Linked DNA regions of Notamacropus eugenii. The protein of the gene in region 2 interacts with the protein of the main gene of each other region in a biochemical or structural test. Links are inferred from orthologs where the notes say so. Each region holds a gene or a part of one and is shown on either strand. Other genes may lie near its edges.

The links.
Region 1: of the proteins of CASP7 (region 2) and PTGES3, one has a biochemical effect on the other in vitro, tested with the Homo sapiens proteins (2 studies listed by BioGRID and IntAct). The link is inferred for Notamacropus eugenii from reciprocal best matches to the Homo sapiens genes CASP7 and PTGES3.
Region 3: of the proteins of CASP7 (region 2) and PANX1, one has a biochemical effect on the other in vitro, tested with the Homo sapiens proteins (2 studies listed by IntAct). The link is inferred for Notamacropus eugenii from reciprocal best matches to the Homo sapiens genes CASP7 and PANX1.

Annotation. Positions count from the first base shown.
Region 1 is NC_092874.1:231,925,390-231,935,576, reverse strand, and holds the start of PTGES3 (prostaglandin E synthase 3), read left to right. Parts: upstream 1-5,821; 5' UTR 5,822-6,262; coding exon 6,263-6,264; intron 6,265-10,187. UniProt on the Homo sapiens protein: Cytosolic prostaglandin synthase that catalyzes the oxidoreduction of prostaglandin endoperoxide H2 (PGH2) to prostaglandin E2 (PGE2).
Region 2 is NC_092872.1:192,053,818-192,064,557, forward strand, and holds the start of CASP7 (caspase-7), read left to right. Parts: upstream 1-5,998; 5' UTR 5,999-6,520; intron 6,521-10,740. UniProt on the Homo sapiens protein: Thiol protease involved in different programmed cell death processes, such as apoptosis, pyroptosis or granzyme-mediated programmed cell death, by proteolytically cleaving target proteins.
Region 3 is NC_092876.1:164,528,131-164,538,722, reverse strand, and holds the start of PANX1 (pannexin-1), read left to right. Parts: upstream 1-5,372; 5' UTR 5,373-6,191; coding exon 6,192-6,372; intron 6,373-10,592. UniProt on the Homo sapiens protein: Ion channel involved in a variety of physiological functions such as blood pressure regulation, apoptotic cell clearance and oogenesis.

The DNA.
Region 1 (10,187 bases), on a different chromosome or scaffold from region 2:
TCCAAGGCCAAATAGCCAGTATATGTCAATGGCAGGACTTGAACGCAGGTTTTCCAAGTTCTGAATTCATATTATAATATATATGGTATATTATAGCATTTTACATTTGTGTTAATTCCTCACTCAACTTGAATAAGATGTGAGTTTACCAGCTCTGTTCCTTCTGGTGAGATGGAGGACTACCAATAGGCCTTATCAATTACCCTGACACCTCCTCTTAACATCTTCCATTTTCACCTGCCATGCCTCTCTATAACCTCAATACTCCCAGAACTGTTATCTGACCTACTGATGCAACCTACGGACCCTTGGGCCTTACTAGAGTTGAACTGGCTCTAGAAAGACAGCTAGGTCTTTCCATTAATTCTGAAAGGACTTCCTTTAATGTGTCGTTTCCCCCAGTAAGAGTACGATCTCCTTGAGAGTAGAGAATGTCTATTTCTATTTGTATCCCCAGCATAGTGATTGGCACATATTAAATAAATACTTAATAAATGTTTTTTCATTCAATCACTGTGATTACAAATGCTTTTCAAAGATATTTGATGCAAATATTTTTCTAATTTACTTTCTTTTCCTAATTGCATTTATTTTGTTCTTGCAAAAGCTTTATATTTTCATATAATTGAAATTATCTATCTTTTGTAATAGTTTCTATCCTTGTTCTCGCAATTTTCTTTTTTTATGTGAACTTGACAATATCAACAAACCTAAACATTACTGTATAAAAAGAACAGAATCATTTATGAAACTGTAAATCTCTATCATTTGGATTTTTTAATTTAAATTTTCATTTTAAAAGTATTTATTAAATTTAATGTTTTAATACCAACATTGTCCTGTCTATATCCCCTTCTAAACTTATCTCTTCTATAGATTAAGAAAAGCTTATTATCATCAATAGACATGAATCTTTCCCCATATAAAGGTCAGAAAATGAAAATTGTATGTGAAACTATGAATCTACTGAATTTTTAAAATCATGTATTAAATTTAATATGCTAATGCCTTTATTGCTCTGCTTGTATGTGTCCTCTTCTGAATTTCCTTTTACTCTCCTTTGTGTATTTTTTAAATGTTTCATTGATTTCCTTTTCTTTTGCATTTTTAATATTCTCCCCCATCTTCAACTCCACCCCTCCCCCAAGTGAAAACCTTCCCTTACAGCAAATAAATACAGTGAAGCAAGATAAATCCACACATTGGCTGTATCTGGAAAATGGATGTCTTATTCTGCACCTACAGGCCATCACCTCTGTCAAGAGATAAGTCAAATGCTTTATCATTAATCTTCTGGACTCTTGATTAATCACTGCATTGATAAGAATTCTCAAGTCTTTCAAAGTTGTTTTGCATTGAAATGGTGAAACATAACTGTATAAATTGTTTTTCTGGCTCTTCTCATTTTGTTCTGAATCCATTCATACAAGTTATTTTTATAAGGCTTTATTTTCTGAATCCATTCCTTTCATCATTTCTTACAACACAATAATATCCCATTACATTCATATACCATAATTTATTGAGCCATTTCCTAATTGGTATATCCCTTGTTTGGTTAGGAATTTCTTCCATTAGTCATAAGTTATGGAAAGGCCCTTTACATGTAAGTTTCAATGTTTTACATGATCTTTATCTGTAAAATGATGGGGTGGGAGTAGATGATCTCCAGAGCTAATCCTAACTCAAAATCCTCTTGGGCTAATTCCTTTCCAGGCCATTACTTGAATCCCACTAACTTGAATCAATTGAACAATTTACTGTTCCATAAATATATCCTGCCCTCCATGCATCTGCTCATGCTATTTTGACCACTAGGAATTCCTTCCTATCATGTATATTTGTTGAAACTGTACCATAGATATTTGAGAATATGTCCCATACATTCAACTAGACCAGGGGTGACGAACCTGTAGCCCCACGGCCACATGTGGTCCTCTAGGTCCTTGAGTACAGCCCTTTGACTGAGTCCAAGTTTCACAGATTCCCCACCCCTGAACTAGACTATTAGCTCCATGAGAGGAGAGACTCTGTCTTAGATAAATTTTATATCTCATCCAGTAGCTGGCACAATGCTTTATACTAAGTAGTCACTAAATATTTATATCCTGTACATATATCCCATTAAACTGTGTAATAGGTATTGGATCACTGGGATACAGAAATAACAGGGCCCATGATCAAAAGATTTTCTAGTCTTACATCCTCATCTTACAGGTGACAAGAAGTCGGCTTAGAGGGGGTAAAATGACTTGTCCAATATCACACAACTATTAAATAGCAAAACCTCTTGTACTAGTCATCTCTCCTTCTACACTGTAAACTTCTTTTAGGCAGGGAAATTGTTTATTATCTTTGTATCTCACCCAAACTAGATTTTACAGATTAAGAGCCGTACAGGTGACATTTGATTTGAGCTCAACAAGCAGGAAATGCAACAAGGAATAATTTTTAACATTAAAAAGAAAGTCAATATACCTATTTTAAATGTCAGGAAATTTTGCTCTTCAAGACAAATAGTTATTCAATTTGTGATAAGAAAAATGCTACAATAAAGGTTCAATGCATCCAGTGGGTTAATAATCCATGGGGGAAGTGGAGGAAATGACACAATTTTTTCTCCCATGAATTTAATCATCAACAAACAATTTAATATACAAACAACAAAGAGGATTGTTAAATTGTGAATTTATTTATATAGTTGCTGGTCCTGGACAAGTCATTTAACCCCTCAGTGTTGTAAGCAACACTGTTAAGACTATTAAGTTGCTGAGGTAGGTGTCTCCCTGCATTGGCAGGAGTTTCCTCATCTGGGAGTTCCCTCTTTCAATGAAATAACTGATCTAATTTCTGTCCCTATTTTATATAATAAGTATAAGGCCATCAACAAAATTGCTTTGTTTGTATTTCCTGTACCTCCTTCTGTACTATGTTTTTGTCTGTGTGTAAAATATGTGTGGGTAAGCTGTATAATATAATGATATGCTGGCCCATTTGACATAGAGGGTTCTCTGATATGGAATCTGGTCCACTCTATCACTGAGGGAGGCTGAAATTTCTTCCTTTTAAAGAGTAGGAGAAAGGCTTTGCCTTTACCACCAGTCTAGCAAAAAAGGGGTTGTAGGATATTTATGGCAGGATGATCTCTTTGCCAATCTCATATTTCCAGATATAGGTCTAGAATTAGATGCATCAAATATGAGTAGTCTAGGCATTTGAGTTGAAGGTGTTTGGCATACAAGATATTTTCCCTGATTGATCTCAAGGGAAAGGGACACCTTGACTAACACCAATTTAGATTCCTCCTCAAATACTAATTATATAAATTATATAAAAGGCCATCAAGACTAGCAAGTACTTCATCAAAATCATCCAGTAAATAGAAACCTGAGAAGTTATACAAATTAGGATCGGTCTTGAGAGCAAGATAAAAACTTCAGCCCAAGAATCTACTCTTAGCAATCTCTAGGATTGCAAGCATTGGAAGTCAGGGATATGATGGGGGTCAGCTTCCCCTAGTTTGTAGCTCTGAATAAATCACCAGTCCACCATTTAAAAGTCAGCCATCCCTGAGTCTTTGCCTCTCTGGAGGGCAGCTAGGTGGTACAGTGGATAGAGCACCAGTGCAGTAGTCAGGAGGAGCTGAGTTCAAATGTCACCTCAGACACTTGACACTCACTAGCTGTGTGACCTTGGGCAAGTCACTTAACCCCAATTTGTCTCATCCTGGGTCATCTCCAGTCATCCTGATGAATATCTGGTCACTGGATTCAGATGGCTCTGGAGGAGAAGTGAGGTTGGTGACCTGCACAGCCCTCCCTCCCTCAAAACAAAATCAAGTGCAAGTCATCATTTCTCTGATGCCATGGTCTTCTTTGACAAGGAAGGACGAATACACACCTCTCTCCTGAAATGCTCCAACAAGCTGAAGCTAATATGTTACATTCAGTGTCTCCAGCTCAGAGGTCTCTCAGACAATTAGGGGTTACACCTTATTACACATAGGCTGTGCAACACCAAGAGGGCTGCCCTCAGGAAAATCACCCCAGGCTTGGGTGAAAATGGGGTTAAATACACATTTCAAAAAAAAAAAACAAAACACTAAAAAGAAGTTACCTGTGCTAGATAGTGGATAGAGTGCCAAGTCTGGAGTCAGGAAGATTCATTTTCCCGAGTTCAAATCTGGCCTCAGATACTTACTAACTGTGAGACCTCGGGCAAGTCATTTAACCCTGTTTACTTCAGTTTCCTCATCTGTGCAACAAGCTGGAGAAGAACATGGCAAACCACTCCAGTATCTCTGGCCAAGAAACCCCCAAAAGGGGTCACGAAGAGTTGGCTGTGACAATAAAAATGCTTTTTTTTACGAATCCACACTGGCCATATCTGAGATGTTATAATTCCTTCTGCATCTCCTGTTCCTTACCTCTCTGCCCAGGTACGACTGGAAGGTATGTTTCATCATCAGTTTTTTGAAGGCATCACTGGTCACTGCTTTTATTAGAATTTTGTCTTTCAAATGACTGTCATCTTAAACTGTTCTCCTGGCTTTCCTCATTTCCCTCTGCATCCATCAATACGTCTTCAGGGGCTCCCTGAATTGATCATATTCCTAATTTCTCAAGGAGAAGTCATATTCAAGGACATGAACGCACGTAACATGGTCACACATTTATTTACCTGCTTTGTTCCCAGTTATTTGCTAGGTATTCTTGAGCACCTGGGTTCTTTCTTTTTTGGGTTTGATTTCCACAGGGTCTAAGAATCTAACGGTATTTCTGGGTCACAGGCATACACAGCTTGGTAATTTAAGGGAAAAAGTTATCCATTTTTTCCAGAAACACTGAGAAAATTCAAAACTCTGCTAGAGGCGAAGGAATGTACCTATTCTCCCATGGCCTTTCCAACAACTGCTATTTTCCTCTTTCCTCTTCTTTGCCATCTGACGGGCGTGAGATGACGTCCCTTCAATGATTTTAATTAGTGATTTGGAACTTTTTTCCCAAATGATCACCAGCGTCATCCCTGGAGAACCGCCTCTTCACGGGAATGCCATTTCAGCCACCATCCTCCAAGCCCTGAGCTGGCTTTGGGCAGATTCTGAACAAGTATTCCCCCAGGAGTGAAAGCAATGGCCGGACATTATCAAAGTCAGCGGCCATGTGGTCTCCGAGGAATCCCGGGGTCCATTTGCTCTCAATTCAATTCGGGAGCCATCTACAAAGGGGCGGGATGGTGCCTGCCCTTAAGGGGCTTACATTCTACCGCACTCCACAGTATTCCGCGGGGTCTCGCCCCTCCCCCCAGACAAGGCCTTTCACCTCCCCTCCCCCCTCCCCCCTCCCCCCAGACAAGGCCTTTCACCTCCCCCTCCCCCTCTCCCCCCAGCCAGGGGCCTGTCCTCCCTTCAGAGCGAGGATAGCGTCGGCCCAGGCCGGGGGAAGGGGTACGACTCAAACATGTCTCCTGCGGCCGAGTTTTTTCTCAGCCTCGGGCTGGGCCGTGGTGGGGGAGGGGAACCTGGGGCGGGGGTGGGCAGAAATGCCACCATCTCCGCCCGCAGGCTGAGGGCCGGCCGCCTCTCGGCTAGCCTTGGCCAGACGACTAGTTTCTCGGGAGGTTTCCCCGGGAGACCACGCGAAAGCGCGAGCCCAGGCGGTTGGGTCACCAACGGTTTTCCAACGAGAGGCTGCAGGGGGGGGCGGGAGGAGAGGCGGGAAGGGACAGCGACTGAGGGGGGGCAGAGCGGGCGGGGTCAAAGAGAGTGACGGGGAGACTCCGCCCTTCTCATAGAGATCTCTAGAAAGCCGGGCTCGCGCCCGAAAGCACAGGAACGCGCACGCGCGAAGGGGCCCGGGCATTTTGCTGCGTCACTAGCCGCCGCCGCCGCCGCCGCCGCCACTGCCTCCTCCTCTGTCGCTGCCTCCGCCGCCGCCGCCACCTTGCCTCGCTTGGCCTTACCGCCCCTCGTACGCACACGTTCATTCTCTCTCCTCGCGCCCTCTTCTTACTCTTTCCTCCTCCTCCTCTCCCCGAACCTCTCTGGTCTGCCGCGCGGTGCATTGTGGGATCCAGGCCAAGCCCGCCGCCGTCGCCTCCGCCGCCGCTGCCGGAGGGGAAAGAGCGAGGCAGAAGAGAGGCCGCGACCGGAGGAGGAGGAGGCACCCGAGCCGGAGCCGCCCGCCCGCGGGGAGTCGGAGCCGTCCTTGCCGCCTGAGAGACCCAACCCACCCGTTCGCCCGCCCCCCCTACCCTGTACACAATGTGAGTGTGATAGCCCGCTGAGGGGAGGCCAGCCTGAAAAGAGGACGGGAGGCGGAGGCCGCGGCTCGTGGACGGAGCGGGAAACCGACCCTCCCCACAGCCCTGCGGGGCCCAAGCGGCGTGGGGGGGGTGCTACCCCCGCGGGGGGGAAGGAATCTCCCGTGACATCCCCCTTCAGGGTCCTCGCGGGAAGCCGTGGGGCCCCATTCCCAAAATGATCCGTTCCCTTCCCCCATCCTGCGGGCCCTCGCTCCGGGAAGTTCCCCCGGGCTCACCCCCGAGGCCTCCATCTCCAGTGACCCCGTTCCTGCCTGAACGTGCCTCGGAGGGGAGGCCTTTCCTCCGCCGGCTCCCCCGGGATGCCCCGTCGTGGCAGCAGGCCATGTGCATTGGGGGCAGGAGGCCCCCGGAGAGGGGGGTGACCACGAGTTGGGGGCCCCATGTGGCCTGCGGACCGGAGCAGGTAGTGCTGGCCACGTGCAGGCCTCCCCACGGCGGGCCCGTGGCATCTTGACCTAGTCCGGTTACCTGTGTCACCCTGACATGGTGTTGCCCCCCAGGGGGGCTTGGGTACTTACTTTTGGCCCCCCCATGCTTCAGCGTGACTGAGATCCCGAAGGGAGAGTAGGGGCAGTCTGCACCAGACAGTTTCCTGACAGGGAGGAGAGTTAACTGCCTAACAGGTATTTTACACGTGTTTGACCCAAAGGACTATTGTGGAGTTTTACAGAGATAATATACTACCTTAAAATTGTAGGCAAGGTAGGTGTTCCTTCCTTAAATCTCCGTGAGATGTGTAGATCTTAAGTCTTCAGGGGGTAATTTCTCAAAGGTGTGTAGGGGATGGGTCACAGATGCCCATGCTGGAAGTAGAAGTTTGAGTAGAACAAAGGGAAAAGGCTTCACCTCTGGAATCTTCTACATGCAAAGTCTAGCATTTTTCTCTGCTTCTCCACTTTGTGGATTGTTCACTTTGTGATATAATTAAGTTTAATACTAACTTAGACTAAAATTTAGTAATTGAGTAGTAGTTGTGGATTTCAGATTTAAATTTCTTTAAAAATTAAACTAATTCCTCAAAGGCATCCAACACTTATTAAAATGACATGCATTTTAATTTTAATAATTTTAATGACATGCAGGGTGTAGCAGAAAAATGGTCCGGGAGACTAACATAAATAAGACATAGCATCCAGTTGATTGAAAACATTGTGAAGGGAGCTTGAATTATCACAAAAGGGGTGCTTTCAGAGTGTGGAATTGTTTATGGCTAGAAAATTTAACTGCATGTATGAAACTTTTCCCGCTTTTGTAACCTCACATTTTAAAGTACCCGTCTTAATTCAATTGTATCTTTAATTCGTAGAATAATAGGAATTTTGATTATGCAACAGTTACAGTTAAAAACACAGGTTTTTAGGAAATAACAATAAATTCTTGTCATTGCTGTTCAAAATCTCTAGTTCATCTAGCATAGAGTTGTATCCATTTTGAGAGCCAAGGGTTTAACGTGAGTTGAGGAAATTTGCAGATAAAGTTTTAGTAACCAGATAGTCTAGAAACAAATACTCAGTTAATTACCGTTTGACTTAGCTGCATGTTCAAAAAGTTTTTGAAACTAGTTTTTAGTCACCTATGCAGTGGAGGAGAGAAGAAAGAACCTGTAAATAGATGAAACTTGGATAAAAATCAAGATAGTAATCAATATTCCAGGAGGCATACCTTGAAATGAGTGTATTTTACAAAACTAATGGCTTCAAGTTTTCTAGTTTTTGAAGAAAAAAATTTATGTTTTTGATTTTGTGACTTCTTCAGGGATGTGAATTTATAAAATGAATATTATGATTCAGTTGAATTGGAAGAGACATTTTATGGATCATCTACTCTTAGGAGGAATAACATTGATAAGGCTTCATTTGCCTTATAATGAAAAACAAAAAGAAGGAAAAGGGCAATGGGGGGGGGAGGTCCTACTCAAAATAAGTGGTAGTGGTTGCCCAGCCATTTGGCTTTAAATATTTTAATCAAAATAAGTCTTATTTGTCTATTTCTGTAAGGTGCTCAGAGGTCACAATACAGTATCATTTAGGGAAAGCAGTTAATAGCATCATCTTTCACCCATGGAAATGAGGACCCAGAGAAATTTTGTGCTTGCCCCAGATCATTATGTTCTTGATGGGGACTAACCAGATTCCCACCCTAGCAGGAAAGGTAGGTTGGTGTGGTAGAAAGAACCCTGAATTCAGGAGACCTTGTTTCAAGTCCCAATTCTACCACTTCCTTTTTTTTTTTTTAATCTGAATTGGAGCCAGCCTAGATCTCTATTAGCTTTCTTCCAGCTCTTTGCAGTTTGAACAGTCCAGGGGTAAGAACACTTAATTTGGAATCAGAAGATAGGTATCCTTATCTGTATTCATGCATCTCAGTCATACCCATGTGATCTTAGGCAAATTGGTTAATGTCTCTGGATCTCAGTTTTTCCTCTTGAAAAATGAAAGGGCTGTACTAGATGGCCGTTAAGGTACTCTCCAGCTCTAAATCTATAATTCTATTGCTTTTTTTCCTTACTCTTGTGGAAATCTGCTAGTCTTTGGTGATTTATAACTTTAAAAAAATGGAACTGATAGCTCCCTTTAATCCTATTATCAGTTTCTTGAGGTAGGGTTCTGGGCATGACTTTTCACTTCTGCTTCTTATATTTAGTTTCATTTATTTCCAAATTATTGGAATCAAATTATCAAACATTGAGCAAAATCTTATTTACCTTAGCAAAAAATTACTAAGTTTGTAAACTTGGGGTCCAGTAACAAAACTCCTCGTATATTCCCTTGTGTCCAAAAAAAAAAAAATAGATCTAGTGTCTATAATATTTGGCTGGGCAAAGATTTCTATTTGAAAGGAGTACTTGATAAAGTTAGGGAAGTTATTAATGTTTTTCTTTCAGGGTTGATTTCCTAGCCACTGTAGCATGGCAACTGATTTTCATACTGTAAACTTAAGTTGTACTTTGATCAAAATGCTTTGGAACTGGTGGATGAATATGGATAACAACATACTTAATTATTTTTCTCATTGGTAGTATTTTCTTCAGATTTCCCAGATTATGGTCTCAATGTGATTGAATCCCATCTAATATAGTTTCCTGAAGAGTTAGTGATTATCATTTGGAAGTCTTTTCAAATTTCAGTGTTTATGTATATTGGTATATGGAAAAAGCTGGCATTTGACCTCTTACTTGCAGTCTCCTTGTATGTAGAATGAGAAGAAAAGATGATCTTTTCAGATTCCTTACACCTCTAAATATGTAATTCTGTGACTTCAGTTTTTAAACTTTTCTATGAAGAGTTTCTAATCATTTCTGATCCTACAGTTGGTGTGCAAAGGAAATGCTGATTTTAATATTGGTTCAAGAAAAATGTTTTTTGGAAACAATATCTACTTAACTCCCTCAAGTTAGTGCTTGAATAACTAAAGGTATTTGCGTTGTTTTATATTATCCATACTGCTGTTCATTCCTTTAATGCAGGTGTAGTCCATCTAGTGATTAACTTTCAAGGATAAATCAGTGTTTTTCTAAGGTTCTAGGAATCAATTATTCATATAGAAAATTTATAAAATGTGTTAGACTTTGAAGCTTTTGATAGTAGTCATACTGTATAGTTGTTGCATGGTATTTGAACCATAAGTGAATTATTTCTTGACGCTTGTATAATCCTAGAGTGGAAGGGGATCTTAGCATCTCTTGAGTCCTCCAAAATATACTGATACCCAGGGATAATTTAAAATGCTGTGATTGAAATAAGCTAACAGTGGAATCATATATTTGATCTGGAAACGTGACCATAGAGAACAACTAAGTAACTAGTCCACAATTTCTTCATTTTTCTTTCATTCCACAAGCATTTATTAAGCACCTTCTATGT
Region 2 (10,740 bases):
TCAACACTGACTATTTCCATCTTTTGTCATCTCTGCCAATTTTCCAGGTGTGAGATGAAGAACCTCAAAGTTGCTTTGCATTTCTCTCAAATGCACCCCTGATTTGCAATAGCCTTCAATATGGTTGTCAATAACTTACAGTTTCTTATGAGAACCATTTGTTCATATCCTTTGATGGGTTTTTGTTGTTGTATATTTCAGTCAGTTTCCAATATATCTTCAGTCACAGCTTTATCAGAAATATTTGACACAAAGATTTTTTTTCTTTGCTTATCAACCACTTCCTTTATCAACTTGGTTGCATCGATTTTGTTTATGCAAAAGCTTTTCACTTTCATGTAACTGAAACTTAACTGGTTATGATCACCCTTATCTGGTTAAGAATTCTCTCTCTAGTTATAGAAACAAAAGGTACATGACCTGGTTCTTTTCTAGTTTTTATTTTTTATGGTGTGAGTTTTCATATTTAAGCATGAATCCATTTTGAGCTTATATCACCTAAGACGTTGATCTAAACCTAACTTGTGCTGAAATGCTTTCAGTTTTCCAATAAGTCCTATCAAATAGGAAGTAATTTAGTACCAAGTAATTTATATTTTTCATTTGATTGAACACTGGCTCACTGAGTTCAATTACTTCTAATTCTTCCTTATCTAGTTCATTCCATTGATGTATTTTTCAAAATAAAATAGGCTTGATAATTATTGTTTAATATTATAGTTTGAGGTATGTAAATGCTATTTCCCCTTTATTCCTACTTTTTATTTTTATGATTTCCTTTAAGATTCTAGTTTCTTTGTTCCTACAAATGATTACTTATTAGTTTGTTTAGCCACAATTTTTTTAATTAATTAATTTGTTTTCAGTTTTCTACAATCACTTCCATATATCTTAGATTTTCCCCCCTTCCTTCCCCTCCTCCTCTCCCTCTCCACTTTCTCCCAAAGATGAGATGGCATGCAATCTTATGTAGGTTTGCATTCTTATTAAATACATTTTCACCTTTATCATGTTGCATAGAAGAATTAAAATGAATGGGAGAAACCATAAAACAAAACAAAACATAACACAAGAAAAAGTGGTCTGCTTCATTCTGCAATCCAATTCCATAGCTCTTTCTCTGAATGTGGAAGGCATTTTGCCTCAAGAGTCCACTGGAAATTTTTTAGGTCCTTGCATTGCTGTGAAGGGCTAAGTCTACCATAAAAATTCCCCACACACTGTAGTTGTTGCTGTGCACAAAGTTCTCCTTGTTCTGCTCCTTTGGTCAGCATCAGTTCATATAAGTCCTTCCAAGCCTCTCTGAAGTCTTCCTGTTCATCATTTCTTATAGCACAATAGTATTCCATTATATTCGTATACCACAACTTGTTCAGCCATTCCTCAGTTGAAGGGTATCCCCTCAATTTCCAGTTCTTGGTCACCACAAAGAGAGCTGCTATAAATTTTTTTGTACATGTGGTACCCTTTCCCATTTTTATGATCTCTTTGGGATACAGTCCTAGAAGAGATATTGCTGGGTCACAGGATATGCACATTTTTGTAGCCCATTGGGCATAATTCCAAATTACTCTCCAGAATGGTTGGATCAGTTCACAGCTCCACCAACAATGAATAAGTGTTCCAACTCTCCCACATCTTATTCAACATTTATCAGCTTCCTGTTTGGTCATGTTAGCCAGTCTGATAGGTGTGATGTGGTACCTCAGAGTTGTTTTGATTTGCATCTCTCTAATCAATGTGTAGCCACAATTTACATTTCACATACTTGGTTCCCCTGCACCACCATCACCACCAAGACTTCTCTTTTCAAGGTAAGCTTCTCAATTTATTCAAACATTTTTATATACTAAGATTTATAGATTCTTTTTTATTTTAGTCACCTTTGTTTATATACGCTCTTTGTCAATGCCCCCTTTAAACTGGAGTACCCTGAACTAAAAACAACACTATAGATGCAGTCTAACCAAAACAGAAAAGAGTGGAAATATTACCTTTAAAAAAATAATGTTAATTAATGAATTCTAAGATTTAATTAGGATATTTTGGGCTTTTTTTTAGTAACCACATCACACTGTTAGTTCATACTAAACTTCCATTCAACCAAAATACCTATATCATTGCCAGATTTTCTCCATCTTGCATTTGTATTGATGTTTTGAATCTAAACTTTGAACTTATAAACTTTATCTTCATTAATTTGGGTCTCTCTTTTAAGCCTATCAAAATCAATTTTAATCTTAATTCTGTCATTTATCAGTCCATCTCAGGTTTTCATTGACTATGCATTTGACAAGCATACCTTCTAGATCTTCATCCAAATCTTTAACAAAAAATATCAAATAAAACAGAAACAAGCATTAGAGACAAGTAGCATGGCAATGAGAACAATTTTTGCTGACTGGTATGGAACCATTGATAAACACTCTTTGGATCCTGCCATTCAGTCAACTATGAACATGACTTACTCTACTAATACTCAATATATTTCCCACCACACCAACTACTAAAAGTGACCTTTAACTTCTAGAACTTAAGAAGTTCAGTAGGGATTCTTCTCATCCTTCTATTAGTATCAGAAGAGGGTGTTGATACAGTGTTCCAGGTAGGAGTGTACATAGTAAAGCAGAGACCAGTCGCATACAAAATGACTGTCCGTGGATGGCTGGAGTTGTATCTGATGGGCTCTTAGCCTTCTTATTGGAAGGACCCTATCCCTCAATCTGTTAGCTTTTTCAAGGATCTGTTGGGAAGGATGGAGTTGCACAGAGAGTCCTGAGCAAATGTTTAATAGTTAGAGATTTCTTGATAGGTTTTTTTCAATTCAGAGGTCTTTTCACTCTAATTCTTTCTAGATCATACATCATGGAATTTTAGATCTGGAAAGCTCAGAGATGGTAGAGACCTTTCAGTTCAACTCTCTCATTTTACAGATGAGGAGACTATAAAGTTGAAGTGACAAGTCCAAGTCCAAGGTCACCCCAGCTTCCAGCCAATATGTTTTGTTGTGTCACTGAGAGCTGTTTGGAAGGGAAGTCTGTGAGAGGAGTAATGTGTACATGGATAAAAGTGGTGGTTGGAATGAGAATGGAAAGAGACTGGTGAAATTTTTTAACTGACAACTATTAGCTTGGGGAAGTAGATTCAGGAAGTTGGGATCATGGTATAGCTTCATTCTGTTGTACCTTTATATTATTCAACCTGATTTTTTAAAAACGTGTTCAGGAGATGTTACAAAGGTGAAATCAGTAGGCCCTAGCAACAGATTAGATGTAGGGGTGAGAGATAGTGAGAAGTTCAGGATAATTGTGAGCCTGCAGAATTGGGAGGATGATGTTACCCTCTACAGTAATAAGGAAGGAAGGGAGGGTTTAAAAGGAAAGATAATAAATTCTGTTTTGGACACGTTGAATTTAAGATGCCAACTGGACATCGAATTGGAGATGTCAGGAAAGCAGTTGGAGATTCAAGACAGGAAGTCAGCAGAGAATTTTGGGCAGGATAGGCAGACCTTCAAATCAGCAGCAAAGAGATGGTAATTAAATCTATGGGAGATGATAACTAGTTTAGAGGGAGAAAAGAACTCAGGATGGAATGCAGAGGGATAACTACAGTTAGAGGGCATGCTCTGGAGGAGGATCCAGCAAAAGAGACAGAGAAGGAATGATCAAATAGATGGAAGGAAAACCAGGAGAGAGTCCCAAACACCTAGAAAGAAAAGACTATCAAGGAGGAGTCATCAAAAGTGTCAAGGGCTGCAAAGATGCCAAAGAGAATGAGGATTGAAAAGTGCGTTTGGATTTGACAATCAGTGGGAGTCAATTTGAGCTGTCTCTTAGCATGCTCCTGAAGGAGTAGGCCTTTAGGACAATCTAGAACCTGAGGAGCCATAATTTTCAACCATCCCAGCCCCAAAATGTACAGCTCAGGACACGGAGACCCAGAGAGAGCCAATAACTTACCCACAGTCACATAGTTTTAGTAAGTAGTAGAGACAGATTTAGAGTGCAGATCCAGACTCTTAAGTTTAGCACTCTTTCCACAACACCATGTAAAACTGACCTAAGACTTTGGGACACTGCATATCAGAATCCATCAACTCTTAATTAAATCAAGATGGAGTCTGTGGCCTTGTGCTACATATGTGCATTATACACAACAGATGCAAAATAAATGGATGTTGAATGAATATTTAACAAGCAAATATGAGATTTCATGTATCCAACCCCAAGAATTGGCAGAGGTGACCCCCAATCTTCTTGACTTTTTTCTCCAGGCCCTTTTGTAGGAGTAAAGGTGGGAAGACATGTGGAATATGGCAATGGTTGAAAAATAGCCCATTGCCTAGAATGCTGTCAGATTAGGGTAGAAAGGTCTGAGCACCAGTTGCTGATAGAAAAGGGAGTGTATACGAACCTTATGGGACAAGGAGAAGAGCTGTCATATTATGGGGAATAAGGGGTCTCTGGATGAGGAGCACCCCTCCCCCCAATAAAAATGTAAATACTCCTAGGAGTTCTGTTATCCATCAATTACATCTCAAAGTAAATGCTTGTATTAGACCGACTATTTTGACCAGGCAGAGAGGACAAAGAAAGGACGAGCAATGCCTTTTTAGCCTGGTTTTTAAGGTCTTCCACAATCTTCCTCCAAGTTACTTTTGCAACTTTGTATCTCAACTTCTTATACTCCAGTTAAGCCAAATTGCATCTTTCACCACTCTATCTCACCTGCCTTTCCACCCTCTATGCTAGTGATCACATGGTCTTTCATGAAGGCAATGGCCTTCCTCACTCTCATCTCTGCTGTCAATTCAGGTACAAAAAGCACAGAATTCATCAAGAGAGAAGGGGTACTGCCAGCACCACTCTGAATGAGTCCCATCCTGTCTGGGCCAGTTTGTCTTTAAAATGAGGAGATTAAGCTTGATTTTCTCCAAGATACAAATCCCTTTGATCTGTTTATGTCCCCTATCTTTTTTTTCCCCACTGTTTCTTCCCCATTAGAATCTAAGTTTCTTGGGACAGAGTTTTGTCTTCCTCCAGCTCCCTGCACTTAATACAGTACCAGGTATATAGTGAGCTCTTAAGAGATGCTTGTTGACAAACTGTCTTTAGAGAGGTCTTCCTCCAATCTTTCCAGGATCCCTCCAGTTAATTAGAGCTTTCTTTTCCTGAATTTAAAGTCCTCGATTTTTTGCACTTTCTCATATTCTAAAACTTATTCTAAGTTTTTCTAAGGTTCCACGCCCCTGGAGGGCTAAGTAGGGGTCTCCTTCATTTTTAAACAGGTACTGGAAAACTGGAAATCAAGGAGATGCCCATCAACTGGAGAATGGCTGAACAAGTTGTGGTATATGAATATAATGGAATACTATTGTGCTATAAGAAATGAGGAGTAGGAAGACTTCAGAGAGGCCTGGAAGGACTTATGTGAACTGATGCTGAATGAAAGGAGCAGAACCAGGAGAACTTTGTACGCAGCAACAACCACAGTGTGTGAGGAATTTTTCTGATAGACTTAGTCCTTCACAGCAAAGCAAGGACCTAAAAAATTCCCAAGGGACCCTTGAAGCAAAATGCCTTCCACATTCAGAGAAAGAACTATGGAATTGGATCCCAAAACGAAGTGGACCATTTTCTCTTGTGTTGTGTTTTTTATGGTGTCTCCCATTCATTTTCGTTCTTCTGTGCAACATGACTAAGGTAAAAATGCATTTAATAAAAATCTATGTCTAGAACCTATATAAGACTGCACGCCCTCTTGTCTTTGCGAGGAAGTAGAGAGGGAGGGGGAAGGAGGGGAAGGGAGAGGGAAAAACTAAGATATAAACTAAGATAAAACTAAGAGATGATTGGAGAAAACTGAAAACAAATCAAATAATTTTAAAAAATAAACAGGTACTGGATGGAGTTGCTGGCTTGGGGGATGGGGGGCGGGAAATAGAAGCTGGATTAGGAACTAAAAGCCGCAGCCAGGAGGACTGGGGATCCAGTTCTTAACAGTCTTTCAAAGTCAAGGAGCACCAGACTTTGGACTCCTAACGTGGGAAATCCAGGAGCGAGCCGGGGAGCCTCGCCTCTTCCAGGAATTGAACGAGGCAGGGAAGAAAACCTGGCTAAGTCCAACGCAAAGACATCTCCAGGCGGCCGGGGCCCAGAACCCGGAACATCTCGGTAGCGGGCCGGGCCGGTCCCTCCCCGCCCACGGGATGTGGGCGGTCTCCGGGGCAGTGCTCGCTCCGCCCTTCCAAGGTCCCTTTGGGCCCCGGGGGAGCCGGGTCCGCCTCCAGGCCGGCCTAGGCTCCGCCCCTCTGCTCTTTCTCGTCTCGGCGCCCTGAGCGCAGTGTAACCCAGCCCCCAGTGAGTGTGTAGCCCGGCCCGCAGCGTGTAGCCCGGCCCGCAGCGTAGCCCGCAGTGTGTAGCCCAGCCCGCAGCGTGTAGCCCGGCCCGGCTGGCGCCGCAGAGCCGTGTGTTTGCAGCGTCTCCCTCCACCCGCTCCAGGATCCCCGGTGCTCACGGTAACCCCAGCAGCCCTCCCTCCCTCCCCCCACACTGTCTCTTTTCTCTACTGTATGGGCTTCCCGCCTGGCAGCCTGCCCTGCCTCGCTGACCTCCCAATCCTGGGGCCACCGGGCCTCTGTCCCCAGCCCCGCTTCTAACGTAGCACCCCCCCTTTTCTCCACGATAGCCTTCCGCGGCTTTCCTGGGACTGCCTGGCCTTTGGCTGTCTGATGGAGTTAGTCCCTGTTGGTGACGGTGGCATTTTTGTAACCTCCTGGAGGGTATGGGCTGGGATGAAATTGACACTGTATCCCTACCAGGGAAGGCTTTCTTTCACGGAGATACATCTTGATACACTTTTGCTAAGTTTCATAGTATATATAATCATAGCTAGCCTTTATGGCCGTATTTTAAGGCTTGCAAAGCGCTTTACATATGTTAATTAGAGCCTCACTATAACCCTGGGAGATGGGTGATATTCTTATCCTTTTACATATAATAATAGATAGTAGATATTCACAGAGCTCTTTGAAGGTTTGCAGAATGTTTTACAAACCTTTCATTTGAGCCTCACCACAGTCCTGGGTGGTAGGTGCCATTATTATCCCCACTTTACAGAAGAGGAACATGAACTGTAACAAAGATTACAGTGATTGGCCATGCAGATAGTGTCAGAGCAGAATTCTAACTGATAGTCGACTTACCTAGTCAGGACAGGAAGAGATCTTAGAAACTTGAAACAGAAAGAACATGAGAGATCATAGGATAAAGATTCAGAACTGGGAAGTAGCTTGGGCATCTGGGGAGACCAGCCTGCTTATTTTTTACAAATGAAGAAATTCAGGCCCATCATGGAATTGACTCTCCTAAATTCACCCAAACAATATGTAATAGAGCTCCTTACACTCAGCCTTTACAAATGATTTAGTTTCACTGTATGACAGATAAGAAAACTGAGACTCAGAGGACCATAGGATTATTAGAGCTGAATTTTAGACATGGAAAGAATTTTGGATTTGGAGTTGAAGGACCTGGGTGGGAATCCTGGCTCTACCCAGGGAGGGGCAGCTAGATAGAGTGCTGAGCCTGGAGTTTAGAAGACTTGAGTTCAAATTTGGCCTGAGACACTTACTAGCAGTATGACCCTGGGCAAGTCACTTGACCCTATTTGCCTCAGTTTCCTCATCTGTAAAATGAGCTGGAGAAGGAAATGGCAAGTCACTGCAGTATCTGTCCCAAGAAAATCCCAAATGGGGTCACAAAGAATCAGATGCGACTGAAAAACAACTTACAACAGTCTATCATGTAATTCAAGTGTGACTTTGGCCAAGTCACTGGGCCCACTCCTTGGGCCTCAGTTCTCCATCTGTAAAATGAGGAGGTTGGACTCCATGACCTCTGAGATCCCTTATAACTAAATCTATAGTACTTTGACCTTAAACAATCAACAAAGGAACATTTGTTAAGCATCTGCTTTGTATTAGGCCAAGCACAGAGGTATGTGCTGTGGATACAGAGACTACCAAAAAAAAAAAAATAGCCCCCTACCGCTACCCTTCAAGAAACTTACCTGACTGGTATGGACAAGGGGGTTGGACAACTGGAATGTAGGGTACTAGACCAGTGATATTACTGTACAGAGAATTCCCCTCTAAGGAGTCTCTACCAATGCAGGCTGGCATCTTCTCTGAAATTTACAGTCTTAGAAATTAGCTCAGGGCATGAGAAGTTAAATCCTTTCCCTGTGGTCACACAGCCTGTGTGGATCAAGAGCAGGACTTAAAATGTAGGTCTTCCTATTTGTGAGGCCTACTCCACTGTACCATGTTTCCTCTGCATGTATAAGTAAATACAGTATATATGTAGGTGTATATGCACATATATTTGTTGTTCAGTGGTATCCGACTCTTTGTGACTCCATCCTGCTATTGTATCTTTTAGCATTTTAATACTGTCCATGGGGGTTTTCTTGGCAAAGATACTGGAGTGGTATGGTATATTCTTTCACGGTAGGCAGGCTTTAGGCATGGGTTCTAGTGATAGCTTTGTTTCTGTTCATAGGCACCATATTCAGGAAAGCTTATGTAAGAAGGTTCTCCTTTCCCAGGATATCTTTTTGGCTGTTGCAAGGTGCGAAGCCAGGTGGAGTTGGAAATAAGATGAGACTGAAATATGTATAGGTGGAGTCCCACACAGATGAAATCATAAAGCTTAGAAGTATTGTAGCTTGTCTAATCTAAACAGTAATAACTTATCTTTATATAGCAAAATCATCATTCTAGTACTTTCCTCATGACAACTGTGTGAAGTAATTAGGGCAAGTATCTTTATTCTACAGAAGGGGAAACTGAGACTTGGAAGTGAAGGCACATGCCCAGAGTCACCCAGCCAGTAATTCATAGAGCCATGACTTAATCCCAGGTCTTGTCTCCAAAATCCCCTTTTAACTTATTGATTAAACACCAGTTATTCCCTAAAATTAATTGCTAATTCATATATACAAAGTATTTTTGTGTTACATTAACTTATTTGAGCCCTGAAATCACCCAGTGAGGTAGATAGGGCAAAAACTGCTACCTTTTTGTAGCTGAGGGAACTCAGGCTCAGCCACTCCCCTAATAAAGAGGCAGCTGTAATCTCTTCTGACTTTTTCTTTCACTAACTTCCAGTAGACTATTCCGCCCGAGGATCCGGGAATTTCTTGGCATTGCAAATTTAAGAGCCCTCCTGCCACAAGGAAGCTCCTTCCAGAATGTGGGGCTTGTCTTGGTGAGTCAGACACCAAGAGTTCCATGGAAGCTTGTAAAGACCCCTTAGTCAGGTGCACGTGACCTGGACCCCTCCTTTTATTGAGCATGAATTCATCATGAGCACCTCCCAAGGAAGCCAAACTCGGCATTAGGAATGGAGGAGCCTGGTGTCGGTTGAGTCAGGAGGAGCAGTCTGCTCCCCTCCTTTCTGGATAGTGGAGGCCATCTGTTCAGTTGTTGTAGAAAAGGAGTCTTACCAAGCTTTGACTTCCTTTTCCTTCCTGTGGCAAACCCAGATATATTTTGTTTGTGTATTTACCCTTAAGTTTATTCTTTAAAACCACGGGACTTCTTGAACCTGCATTCTTGGACATGGAGCCTGTTCAGAAATTCCCTTGCTCTCATTAAGGATAGGAAAATTGATTTTTTTTTTTAACCCCATGTGCCTAAGCATCAACCAGATGATGGTTTCCTAGATGAATTTGAATCCAGTTCAGCAGACATTTATTAAACACAAAACATTCAGAGCACCATGGAGGAGGTATGCCGGGTAATACAGTATGCAGAGAGACTCAAGTCTACCTGTCCAACCTTGGGAAAGCCTCATCACTTCTCTGGGCCTCAGATTCCTCCTCTATAAAATGAAGGGGTTTCTCTGGGTGACCTCTAAGGTTCCAGCTGTAATTCTGTTATTTTTTGAAATAATAACAATAGCCTTTATTTACGTATTTTCACTGATGAAAACATATTTTCCTTACTTCCAACAAACCTCTGAGGTATATAATAACAGGAGATCCTTGTTTTCATGAAGCATACATACTGGTAAAGCCAGCTACAATAGATCTCATTGGGTAGAGACAGAAAAAGTAGCTAGATGGTGCCATAGTGGCTTGGAGTCAGGAAGACTCATCTTCCTGAGTTCAAATCTAGCCTCAGACATTTACTAGCTATGTGATCTTGGTCAAGTCACTTTACCTGTTTGCCTCAGTTTCCCCATCTGTAAAATGAGCTGGAGAAGGAAATGGCAAACCACTCTAGTATCTTTGCCAAGAAAACCCCAAATGGGGTCACAAAGAGTCAGACATGACTGAAAATGACTGAATAATAAAAATAGAAATGGTCACCAGAATTATTTTTCTTCTACTTTCTACAAAACTATTGAATTTTTAATCAGCTAACATGGAAGCCCTTTGAGTCAAGTACAGTATTTTATTACTTTGTGAGTACTAACTAGCTAGGGAACCAAAGGACCTGAGTTCAAATATGGTTTCTAAAGAGAGAATCATGTGATATTGGATAAGGCTTTTAATTTCTTTGACCATCAGCTTTCTTATCTAGAAACATTAAAAAGTTGGACCAAATGGCCTCTGAGGCCCTACCCAACTGGTGATTTATCATCCTGTGACCCCATTTAAAAACAATAGCTCACACCAGGCCCCAGAAGTCATTTTTTTCACCCTCTGGTACCTTTATACATAAAATGTCAT
Region 3 (10,592 bases), on a different chromosome or scaffold from region 2:
CACTGTTTGGGGAGCTCCAAAAGAAAGTGTGGGAGTGAAAAGATATTGTTCTGCTTACTAAGCTGAAGAGCTATTGTGCTGACCTCAATGTTGTATGCCTGTAAAACCTGGACAGTATACCAGTGTCATGCCAGGAAACTGAATTGTGTCCATTTGAGCTGTTTTAGAAAGATTCTGAAGATCACCTGGTAAGATAAGGAAGCCAAACTGTCAAACATTCGGACTCTGTTGCAGAGAGCACAACTCCAGTGTTCTGGTCACACTGTTCAAATGCCAAGCATATGATTGCCTAAAAGATTATTTTATGGAGAACTCACATAAGGCAAGTGATTACATGGAAGTCAGAAGAAGAAATAAAAGGACACTCAAGGTGTCTCTGAAGAACTCTGGAATCAATTGTGAGACATGGAAGACACTAGCACAGGACTGCCCAGTATAGAGTGTCCACATCAAAGAAGGTGCTGTGCTCTACAAGCAAAGAAGAATTATGGTATCTCAAAGGAAACATGAGATGCACAAATTTAGAGACATCTCCTCTCCAAATGTTCATATAGACTATTTGTACAGAACCTGCGGTAAAGCATTTTGAGCTTGTATTGCTCAGATCAGCCACAGTCAAACATATAATATCTTGACCCTTAACATAATGATGCCATTTTGATACTTTTCTAGAACAAAGGATGATAATCATCCCACCAACCACCAACCAATAATAAAGAGGAGGGAGAGTTGATTTGAGAACAAGGATAGAAAAACTTAGGGGCTTAAGGTATTGATAACACAACATGAGGTAGCCTTGCAATTTTAAACTACCTCCATAGAAAAACAGTATGCAGACTAGGGGGCGAGTTGTCCTATTGTCTTCTGCAATCCTCAGGCTTCATCAATGTCCATTTCTGGATGTTAAACTTTAAGAAGGGTGATTGTGCGAATAGGAGAGCATTCAGCATATTGAAATTCTGGAAATGCCGCCTTATCAGAAAATTCAAGAAATTGGGGAATGTTTATTTTGAAAATCACAAGGTTTAAAGGAGGAAAGGAAAGGATAGTTATCTTCAAATATTTGAAGAAATGCCATGTGAAATACCACAATCTTGAAAGAATCAAAATTGCAAATAATCCATAGGCCACTGGAAAGAGTCATGAGTGAATATAAAGAGGCTATGACAAATTCCCCGACAATGACTTACTACTTTAAAAATGTCATAATAGACAAAGGGCAGAACTAGGAGCAATGGGTGACATTTGGAGGGAGGGAGATTTCAACCTAAATGATCGAACATTTTAGCAATGACACCTTCCTTCATGCCTCCTTCCTTTCCTAGCTATGAGTCCCAGCTAAAATTCCATTTTCTGCAGGAAGTCTTTCTCAATCTCCTTAATTCTGTGCCTTCCCTCTGAGATGACCCCCAGTTTTTCCTACTTATACCTTTTTTTGCACATAGTTGTTTCCTCGTTGTCCCCCCTTTTAGCCCAGGAGCTCCTGGAGAGCAGAGATGGTCTTTTGTCTTTCTTTGTATCTATCATCCGTGCCTAGCACAGTTGTGCTTAATAAATACTTATTGGCTGGCTGAAATATGGAAAACTTTCTACATTCTGAGTTGTGAGTGGCTTTATCGATAGAATTGCTCAAGAATTTTCCTCTTTAAGGTTTGCAAAACATTTGCTTAAAATAAGCTGGTGAGGTAGGTAATAGGGGATAGCAGATGTGCCTGTGATTTTTTTTATTTGAATTTTTAAATTTTCTACATTTTTTTGGTATAGGGATCTTCTAGAGGAGGAAACTACTTCTAGGAACACAGGTCATTACAGGTTATTACTTTCTCTGTGATTTAAAATCTTTAAAAGCTATCATCTTGGGTACAATTCTTGTGTCAGAAGCTCTTTTATTATAGAGGGAAACTATGTGTACTTTGGGTGGATTTTATCACTATCCTCACAATCCAGGAAATGTATAAGGTGATGTGTGCATGGTACCACTCAGTATACTGAGGATAGATCATTCTCCCTTTCACCTTCTTCTCCACTCAGAACCCATCCAGGCTGTTTCACTGCCACAATAATCTGAATGAGATAGACATCACCAACACTATTCTTCCTCATGAGATGGAAGATCACTAAGCCTTACTATCTGTCCTGTATCCTAAGGTCCTCCAGGCTTTAATTTCTATTCTATCTCTACAGCCTGCAGATCATCCTACCTACTCCTAAGGCCTTGCCATACTGCAGTTGCTGCCCCCTTAGGACATTTAGGCTTTTCTGTATGTCCTGAGTCAGACTTTTTTTTTTATATAGTCTCCCCCAATTAGAACAGGTTAATGTGAGAAGGAGGACTGAAGACTGCCTTAGTTTTTCTACTTGTATCTCCAGTACTTAGTCCAGTGCTTGGCACACAGTAAGCGCTTAATAAATGCTTTCTATTTCATTCATTCATTGCCTTTTTACTGGCCATCCCCCCAGACCTGAAATGTACTTCCTCTTCACATTCATCTCATAAAATTTCTCTCTTTCTTCAAGATATAAATCAAGTACCACCCTCTACATAAAGCCTTCCCTGATTCCACCCCACCCCAACTCCTTGTTCCCTTCCTCCCAAACTATGTTATAATTAACAATAGTGTATTTGTAATTATTCTCTTTGTTCTGCATATACTTATATATGTCCTTGTGTCTAACTCTTTGAGAATGTAAGCTCCTTTGGTGTAAGGATCATTTTCTTTGCATTTGTATCTAATTCTAGTAGACTCTAAATGCTAGTAAGTTCTTCATAAATTCTTCTTGATTAATGATTAAAAAGGAAGAATTGAAATAGAAATCCTTTAATTCACAACTTTTAATCCCTAAGACATGAGTAAATCTCCTGAGTTACTCCCAATCCCCATGATGAGAGCTCTTTGGTAAGGAACCAAGGTTGTTGTCCCATGAGCTGTGTCTTGCTACTGGAAGGGCGAAGGTGATGGGAGTGGGCCAGATTTATATTTCTCTCTCCTTTTTTCCTGCTGTTCCTCGTGGTTCCATAGCAAGGCTATCTAGTCTCCTGACTTCTCAGGGCAGGTTGAGGGAAAATTATAAAATTCTCCAACATTCTAGTGCCATTTCTTCAGCGCAAGATAATCTGTTCACAATCCTTTAACACATCATTGGTTGTTACTACTCTCTTAACCAAGCTCTTCTTCCTCTTAACTTTCTCCAGTTTCTACCAGAAACCATTCTTGCACTACACATGTATACACTGAGGAAACACCATTTCACCTTGTGACTCAAATAAGAAAGGGACAATTATCTTGGTACCCACTACAACTGTATGTTCCTTAGACTCATAGATAGCTCTATGGACAGATCGTAGATTTAGAGACAGAAGGGACCTCAGAGACCATGCACTTTTAATCCTTCATTTTATAATTGAGGAAACTGAGGCAGTCCCAGGAACATTACATGACTTTACAATGTCACACTCACCCGTATTAAGCATCAGAGGCAGGATTTGAACCCAAAGTTCCTCTAGCCTCAGAGCCAAGATGATTTCCACTGTGCCACACCACCTCATTTAGTCCAACCTCTCATTCTTGAAGGAATGTTTTCTACAATGGCTCTGTAGGTCTCCACTTACTAGCAGTTTGCAAGATAAATATTTATCATTGCTACTATGAAAGCTGTCATGCACTGATTTTAATTCCATTATTTATTATTTAGGATAATTGGTTTAGGGGAAGAGTTCTGCAAAGGGTTGCTGGGAAGATGAGCAAACTAGGGCAGAAGATGGCTTGGCTCCCTAGTTTTTTGTCAAAAAAACAAAAAGACAAATTATGTACCTATAGTCATCCTATGTAATCATTTTCTTCCTCTTCTCATTAAGGAGATGAAACCTATTCCCTTTTACATCCCCTTCGCCGTGTTTAGGCTGTCCTTTCCTGCCTTCTTTTCCCCACCATAGCTGACCTTAATGTTTATTTTACTGTTTTCCAGTGTGTAAAAATATTAAGAACAGTTAGATGATGATGTGGATAGAGCTCCAGCTCTGGAGTCAGAAAGACTCCTCTTCATGAGTTCAAATCTTGTCTCAGGCACTAGCTACATGACCCTGGACATATCACTTAACCCCTGTGTGCCTCAGTTCCTCTTTTGTAAAGTGATCTGGAGAAGGAAATGGCAAACTACTCTAGTGTCTTTGCCAAGAAAACCCCAAATGGAGTCACAAAGAGCAGGATACCACCTAAAGGTATTGGGCCTGGGTGAAGAATATGAAAGTTGAATATTCATTTAGACTGTAGTAAACCACCGGATTTTGAATCAGAAGCCCTACATACCATGACTATCACTTACCAGAGATGAAATCTTGGACAATGTGTTGGGTCTCAATATCGTCATCTGTTTGTGACATTTAAAAAAGTTTGAGAGACATAGTTTCTGCGTAATTAATCATTTTATTAATAATACTAGCATTTTATTATAAAAAGGAATGATCCTTTGGCTATTTCTCTTGGACCAAAGATGAATCAGGGTGGTGGGCTCATAGCTTATGTGCCCTTGGCCAAGTGGGTGTTCCTGAGGGTGGCTATCAATTCTGATTGGTTAACAACTAGTATGAGAAAGAATGAATATTACAAAGAGAGCTGGGCCTATTCTAATAAGAGAATGGGAGATATAATTTTGATTATTTCATTTATTTCTCAATTCCTTCGGCAAATAATTTGTCGAATAATTTATCCCCACCCACACCTGTAGAGAGTACAATAGGTTTCCTTACCTTGTATTAAATTTCTTGTTAGGTTGGGTGGGGTCTGAACAAGATTGAGGAGAAAGTTATTTCAATTTCATTATCACAAATGTCCATCAGAGACTAACTTTCTAAATGAGGACTTTAGAAAAGGGGGGAACTCTGGATCTCTCCAAATCATTAGTTATTAATAATAATTTCTCTCATGTTAAATGCAGGTATTAGGCAAGATTAATCAGTCTGTCTGGGGAACAGATTGGAAAGGGGAGAGACGAGGCAAAGAGACCAATATGAAGGGTTTTGCAATAGTCCAGGTAAGAGGTGATAAGATGGTGGTTATGTGAATGGAGAAACGTGAAAGTAGAATCAACCAGGCTTCTTGGTATCCAAGGTTCCCTCCAAACCTAAATCCTATGACACCTCTTTCCAGAACATTTCTATTGTGCGATCAACAAAGGGTGAGGCCTTTCTGCACTGTTTACTTGGAGGTACAGAATTTCAACAAGTCACTTGCGGTGGGCTGCAGCGAGAAGCACAAGCAACTGTTTCCTAGGGGTTACATTGTTTACAAAATGTCTCAACTGATGATCCGAAGTGAGGAAAGGCGCTACTCTTTACCCACATCCCCATATCCCAACTCAGTTTCTTCCACTCATTCATTCCAACCACACCCTCCTTTGTTGTCGTAGCCTTCCCAGATGATGCCCAGGAGAGGAAAGCTGGGTGTAAAACGGACAGAAAGAACACTGTAAGAGCTTGGGGTCGGGAGCCCCGCTGCCACCTCTCATCCTGGAGCTTCCTCTCTCGCCCGCCGCAGCACCCACAGCGCAGTTTGGGCAGGCGCCTGGGGAGGAGCTCCGGCTAGCTTTGTTCTGGAGCTCTCGGCTGAGCCAATGAGCGGGGCGCCAGCCGGCGAAATCACTCGGTAGCCTAGGGAGAGCCGGGCTCCTGGGGTCGGAGGCGCGCGCGCAGTCCAGGGCTTGGGCCGGGGCGGAGAGGTCCATGGGGAGAAGTAGCGCGCGTTCGCGAGGTGGGCACTGCGCGCCGAGTGGAGCGGGAGCTGCCCCGGGTGCTAGGCGGAGCGCGAGCCTGCCCCCGGCCCAGAATCTGGCCCTGGGAGCGCGCGGGTTCGAGCCAGCCCATCGCCGGGTCTGAAGCCTTCCCAGAGCTCCCAGGCAGCTGCCGCCGCCAGCACCACCACGGCGGTGCCCGGGACTGCTGAGCCCTCCCGCCCGGAGCGCGTGCTCAGCCACAGACGGGAAACAAAAGAAGCTGGGATGCGAGTGGGGAGTTTGCAAAAGGAAAGTGAAAGCCGGGCTGGGCGCTCCGAGGCTGTGGCTGGGTGAGAAACGGGTCCTGTCAGCCAGTCCCCCAGGCGCGGCGGAGCGTCATGAGCTCCGGAATGCGGAGTCCTGCCCCGGCTTCCCAAGGCTAGCCTGCCCCGGCCGGCCCCGAGGGGACCAGCCCTGCCGCCATGGCCATAGCCCACCTGGCCACGGAGTACGTGTTCTCGGACTTCCTGCTCAAGGAGCCCACGGAGCCCAAGTTCAAGGGTTTGCGCCTGGAGCTGGCGGTGGATAAGATGGTCACCTGCATCGCCGTGGGGCTGCCCCTCCTCCTCATCTCGCTGGCCTTTGCACAGGAGATCTCCATCGGTAAATATTTGGGGGGTGAGAAGGGAAAGGGGGGATTGGAGGGAGGAAGGGAGGAGCCCCAAGTGCTCGTTTGCCTTATCAGGGCAGATTGGGTCTGAAGGCTTTCCTGGCCTTGGGAGTTATCTTTCCACGCTCTGGTGTCAGTATCTCTGCATGCTCCTGGCAGTTCCTGTAGCTGCGGTTTGGGAGTGCTTTGGTTTGTTTAAAGATTTAATGCACCTTTTGTAGAAATATTTCCCTTTGCCAGATTGCGCCTTAGTGCGTAAGGGCTTATAAGGAAACCAAAAAAACATTAAGTGCCTGCCATGAATAAAGCTCTATACTGAGGCATTAGCTAAGCAAAAAGAAAAGCCAGTCAAATCTTACCCTCAAGGAGCTTCCCTTCTAGCTAGAGAATACTGTGTTCACTGATATGTAAACAAAAGGCATATATAACGTAAATAAGAAGTGTGGTGAAGACACTGACTGTAATTGCAGTCCATTTCGGAAGTCAGGTACAGGTTATTTCTGACTCTGGTCACGGATTGTAAACTTTTCATTTCCTGACAGCCACCCCTACAACGACCACAGCCACTATCCACGCTTACACAGTACATTGCTCATAAAAAACCTGTGAGGGAAGTAGTGCACATGTCGTCTCCGTTTTAGAGCTGAAGAAGGTGAAGTTAAGAAGCTTCTTCCAGGAGCCCAGAACCGCGGTAGAGCTAGAAGTCAAATTTGGGTCTTCTGATCCATTGCAGCGTACTGTATGCTACATAGTGGCTCTAGCATGACTATAATATTTTTAACTTAAGTTGCAGCATGTCCCAAAGTGTTTTTCCAGAATTAAATATAGTCACGCAAAATAGGTTTGACAAGGTTTCTTGAAAATTATTTTTTATGGGACAATGCTGGTCAACACTTCTACCATGTTTTTTGATAATAGGCTCTCAGCCATTAGCACTGTATGGAGCACTAGGGGAATAGAGAAGGAGATGAAATTGACTATTAAAGGGCAGTGGTGATTCTCCATCAAGGGGCATTTATTAAGTGCCTACTGCATTCCCGGCACTTTGTTAGGCACTGTAGATATAAATGACTGACTGAATGAAAAATGTTTTATACTATGTTATACTATACTATACTACACTATACTATACTATACTATACTATACTATACCTGGACTTACTGTACCTAGGCATCTTTTATTTCATTTGATCCTACGTGAGATAGGTAGGGCAATTATGGGAAGGTAGCTACAGGGCAAAGGGCATTGGTTTTGGAGTCAAAAGAACTGAGTTCAAATATAAACTCTAGTGCTTATTACCTGAGTGAACTTTGGTCTCACATAGTGTTCCTAGCTGACTCATTGAAAAATGGGGTTTGGATTCAATGTGGACTCATATGTCCATTCTACCTCTAAATCTTTGATTCCATGATACTCATCTTTCAGGAGGAAATTGAAACACAGAGAGGTTGGGTCACTTGTCCAAAATGAGGAGTTGCTAAGGCTCCCACTGTAAATATGATATTAGAAGAAAACCATTCTCATCTTGTCAGTGTGTGAATGGAGGTGGTGTAGTAGATAGAGTGCCAGGCCTGTGAATCAAAAAGGCTTATGTTTTCAAATTCAAATCTGACCTCCCACACTAATTGTGAGATCCTGGGCAAGTCATTTAACCCTGTTTGCTTCATTTTCTTCATTTGTAAAATTAGCTGGAGAAGGAAATGGCAAACCACTCCAGTATCTTTGCCAAGAAAACCCCAAGTGAGGTATTGAAGATCTGATGTTACTAAACAGTTGACTCTGGTGGCATCAACTAGAAACAGCTGAGCCTTCCAGCAGTGATCATTGTGAGGTTGAATTGGAATACAAATTCATGTGTTCCTGGTATAAAATGTTTGGGTTTCATATGATTCTTTCTCAGACTATTTGGAAATTCCAGCCTTCATTAGAGTCAATTCAGCAGGAATTCTACTAAAGCAATAATTGCTACAGGAAGGAATTGAGAAGAAATTCTCCCATTTTTATGAATCATCAGCTTGCTCTGCCAAATGAAGGAAAAGCAATGAAATGTGGTTAAAATACTATTCAAATGTAAGATGTTTTTACACATATTAATCTTCGGCTCAACAATTAAGTAAGACTGGTAGGCAGGTATTAATATCTGTATTGTATAGCTGAAGAAGCTACAATCTTACCCATCCAATGAGAGACAGTATGGAGTAATGGATAGAATACTGAACCTGAAGTAAGTAAAACTTGGGTTGAAATCTGTGAGAAAGGGTACACATCAGCATAGTAGAGGAGACCTGACCAAGCTGGGATTTGTTCCATAGTCAGGGTGGGGCCTAGAACATTTGCTTGGTCTTGCCCTGATATGGGACTGGCCCTGTTCATAATAAGCATCAGGAACAAAAATTTTCTTGGGCTAACACCTTACTGGCAGATAGTTATTTTAGCTTTCAGGTTGGCGCTGGAAGAATTTTTTTTTATGGATTTTGGATAGTTGGCTAAGGATTTTGTAGTGTGCAAAGCAGCAAAAAGTGTTATCTTTGTTGGATGGATTGGATTATTCACACTGTCTTTCTAGTGAGTTTGTCATTTAGCAACCATATGCCTGGCATGGTCAGCGTGGGACAGAGGGACTTATAGTGATAGCAGGAACAAAGGAAGTTGAAGTTGGGTTTTTCTTCCCAATTGCAAATTCCTTGAAAGCAGGGGCAGGTAGCTAGAGAGATCATTTATTAAGGATTTGCTATGTGCCAAGCACAGTGCTTAAAAGATAGGAAATAGTTATGAACTGTATAAGACTGTGTAGTGAAATACCGAATTTTGTGGTAACCAACTCTATTGGCTTTATAAATGCAGTAATGATAATTCATGGTTATATTGAGCACTCAAGGGTTGCAAAGTGTTTTCTCCACAGGAAGCCCATGAAGTAGGTTGCACTAATATGACACTAGATCTCTAGAGAATCTGTGATTTTTCTTCTATAGATACTCCTGGGGTTTGACGGAGCCTGGTCTTACAGAGAACTAATTATTAAATTTTGAGTGTGCGCATTTCCATCTCTGAAATACAGATCAGGAATTTATTGTTTTGTTGATTATCTAGACTAGAGGTGGGGAACCGCATGTGGCCCTCTAGGTCTCCAAGTGCGGCTCATTGACTGAATTGAAATTTCACAGAACAGATCCCCTTAAAAGAATTTGTCCAGGGACCTAGAGGGCCACATGTAACTTCAAGGCTGCAAGTTCCCCACCCCTGCTAACCCCTCCATCAGACACCTTCATTTCTATTCATGTGCTACTGAACAGAGTTAAAGGAAATCATGTAACTTGCCAAATAGGTCTGTAACAAATTTGTTATCTTTTGATCATGTCTAAAAATGTATGGCTCATTCTGCATCTTGAGTCTATCACCTCCTGGGTCAGGGAGGAGATAGTGTGCTTCCTAATTGATCTTTTGGAATTGTGATTGGTCATTGCATTAATCAGAGTTCTTATCTTTCAAAGTTGTTTGTCTTTACGATGTTGTTATTATATAAATTGTTATTATATAAATTATTATATTATTATTATTGTATTATATAATTATATAAATTGTTCTCTTTGCATCAATTTAAACAAGTCTTCCTAGGTTTCTCAGAAACAATCCCTTTCATTATTTCTTAAGGTGCAATAATATTCCATGACATTCATATACCATCTTTTCTTCAGCCATTTCCTAGCTGATGGACAACCCCTTGGTTTTCCAATTGTTTGCCACTACAAAAAAAAATGACCTTAATTAATTTTGTACATATTGGTCCTTTTCCCTTTCTTTGAGGAGAATTCTAGTATTGTTGAGTCAAAGAGCACTTTTGTTTGTTTTTTATATATTTTGCATAAACTTAAACATGTACATATTGTCTCCCTCAATAGAATATAAACTGCTTGAAGAAAGGAAATATTTATATGTTTATGTTCTGAATAATGTTTTACTTTTTCCCCAATTACATGTGAAAACGATTTCAATGTATATTTTAAAAAATATTGAGTTCTAAATTCTCTCCCTCTTCTCCCTCCCTTCCTGAGATGGTAAGCTATTTGATATAGGTTATACATGTGCAGGCATGCAAAGCATATTTCTATATTAGTCATGTTGTGAACGAAAACACAGACAAAAAAACCATGAAAAAATAATGTGAAAAATAGCATGCTTTGATCTGCATTCAGACTCCATCAATTCTTTCTC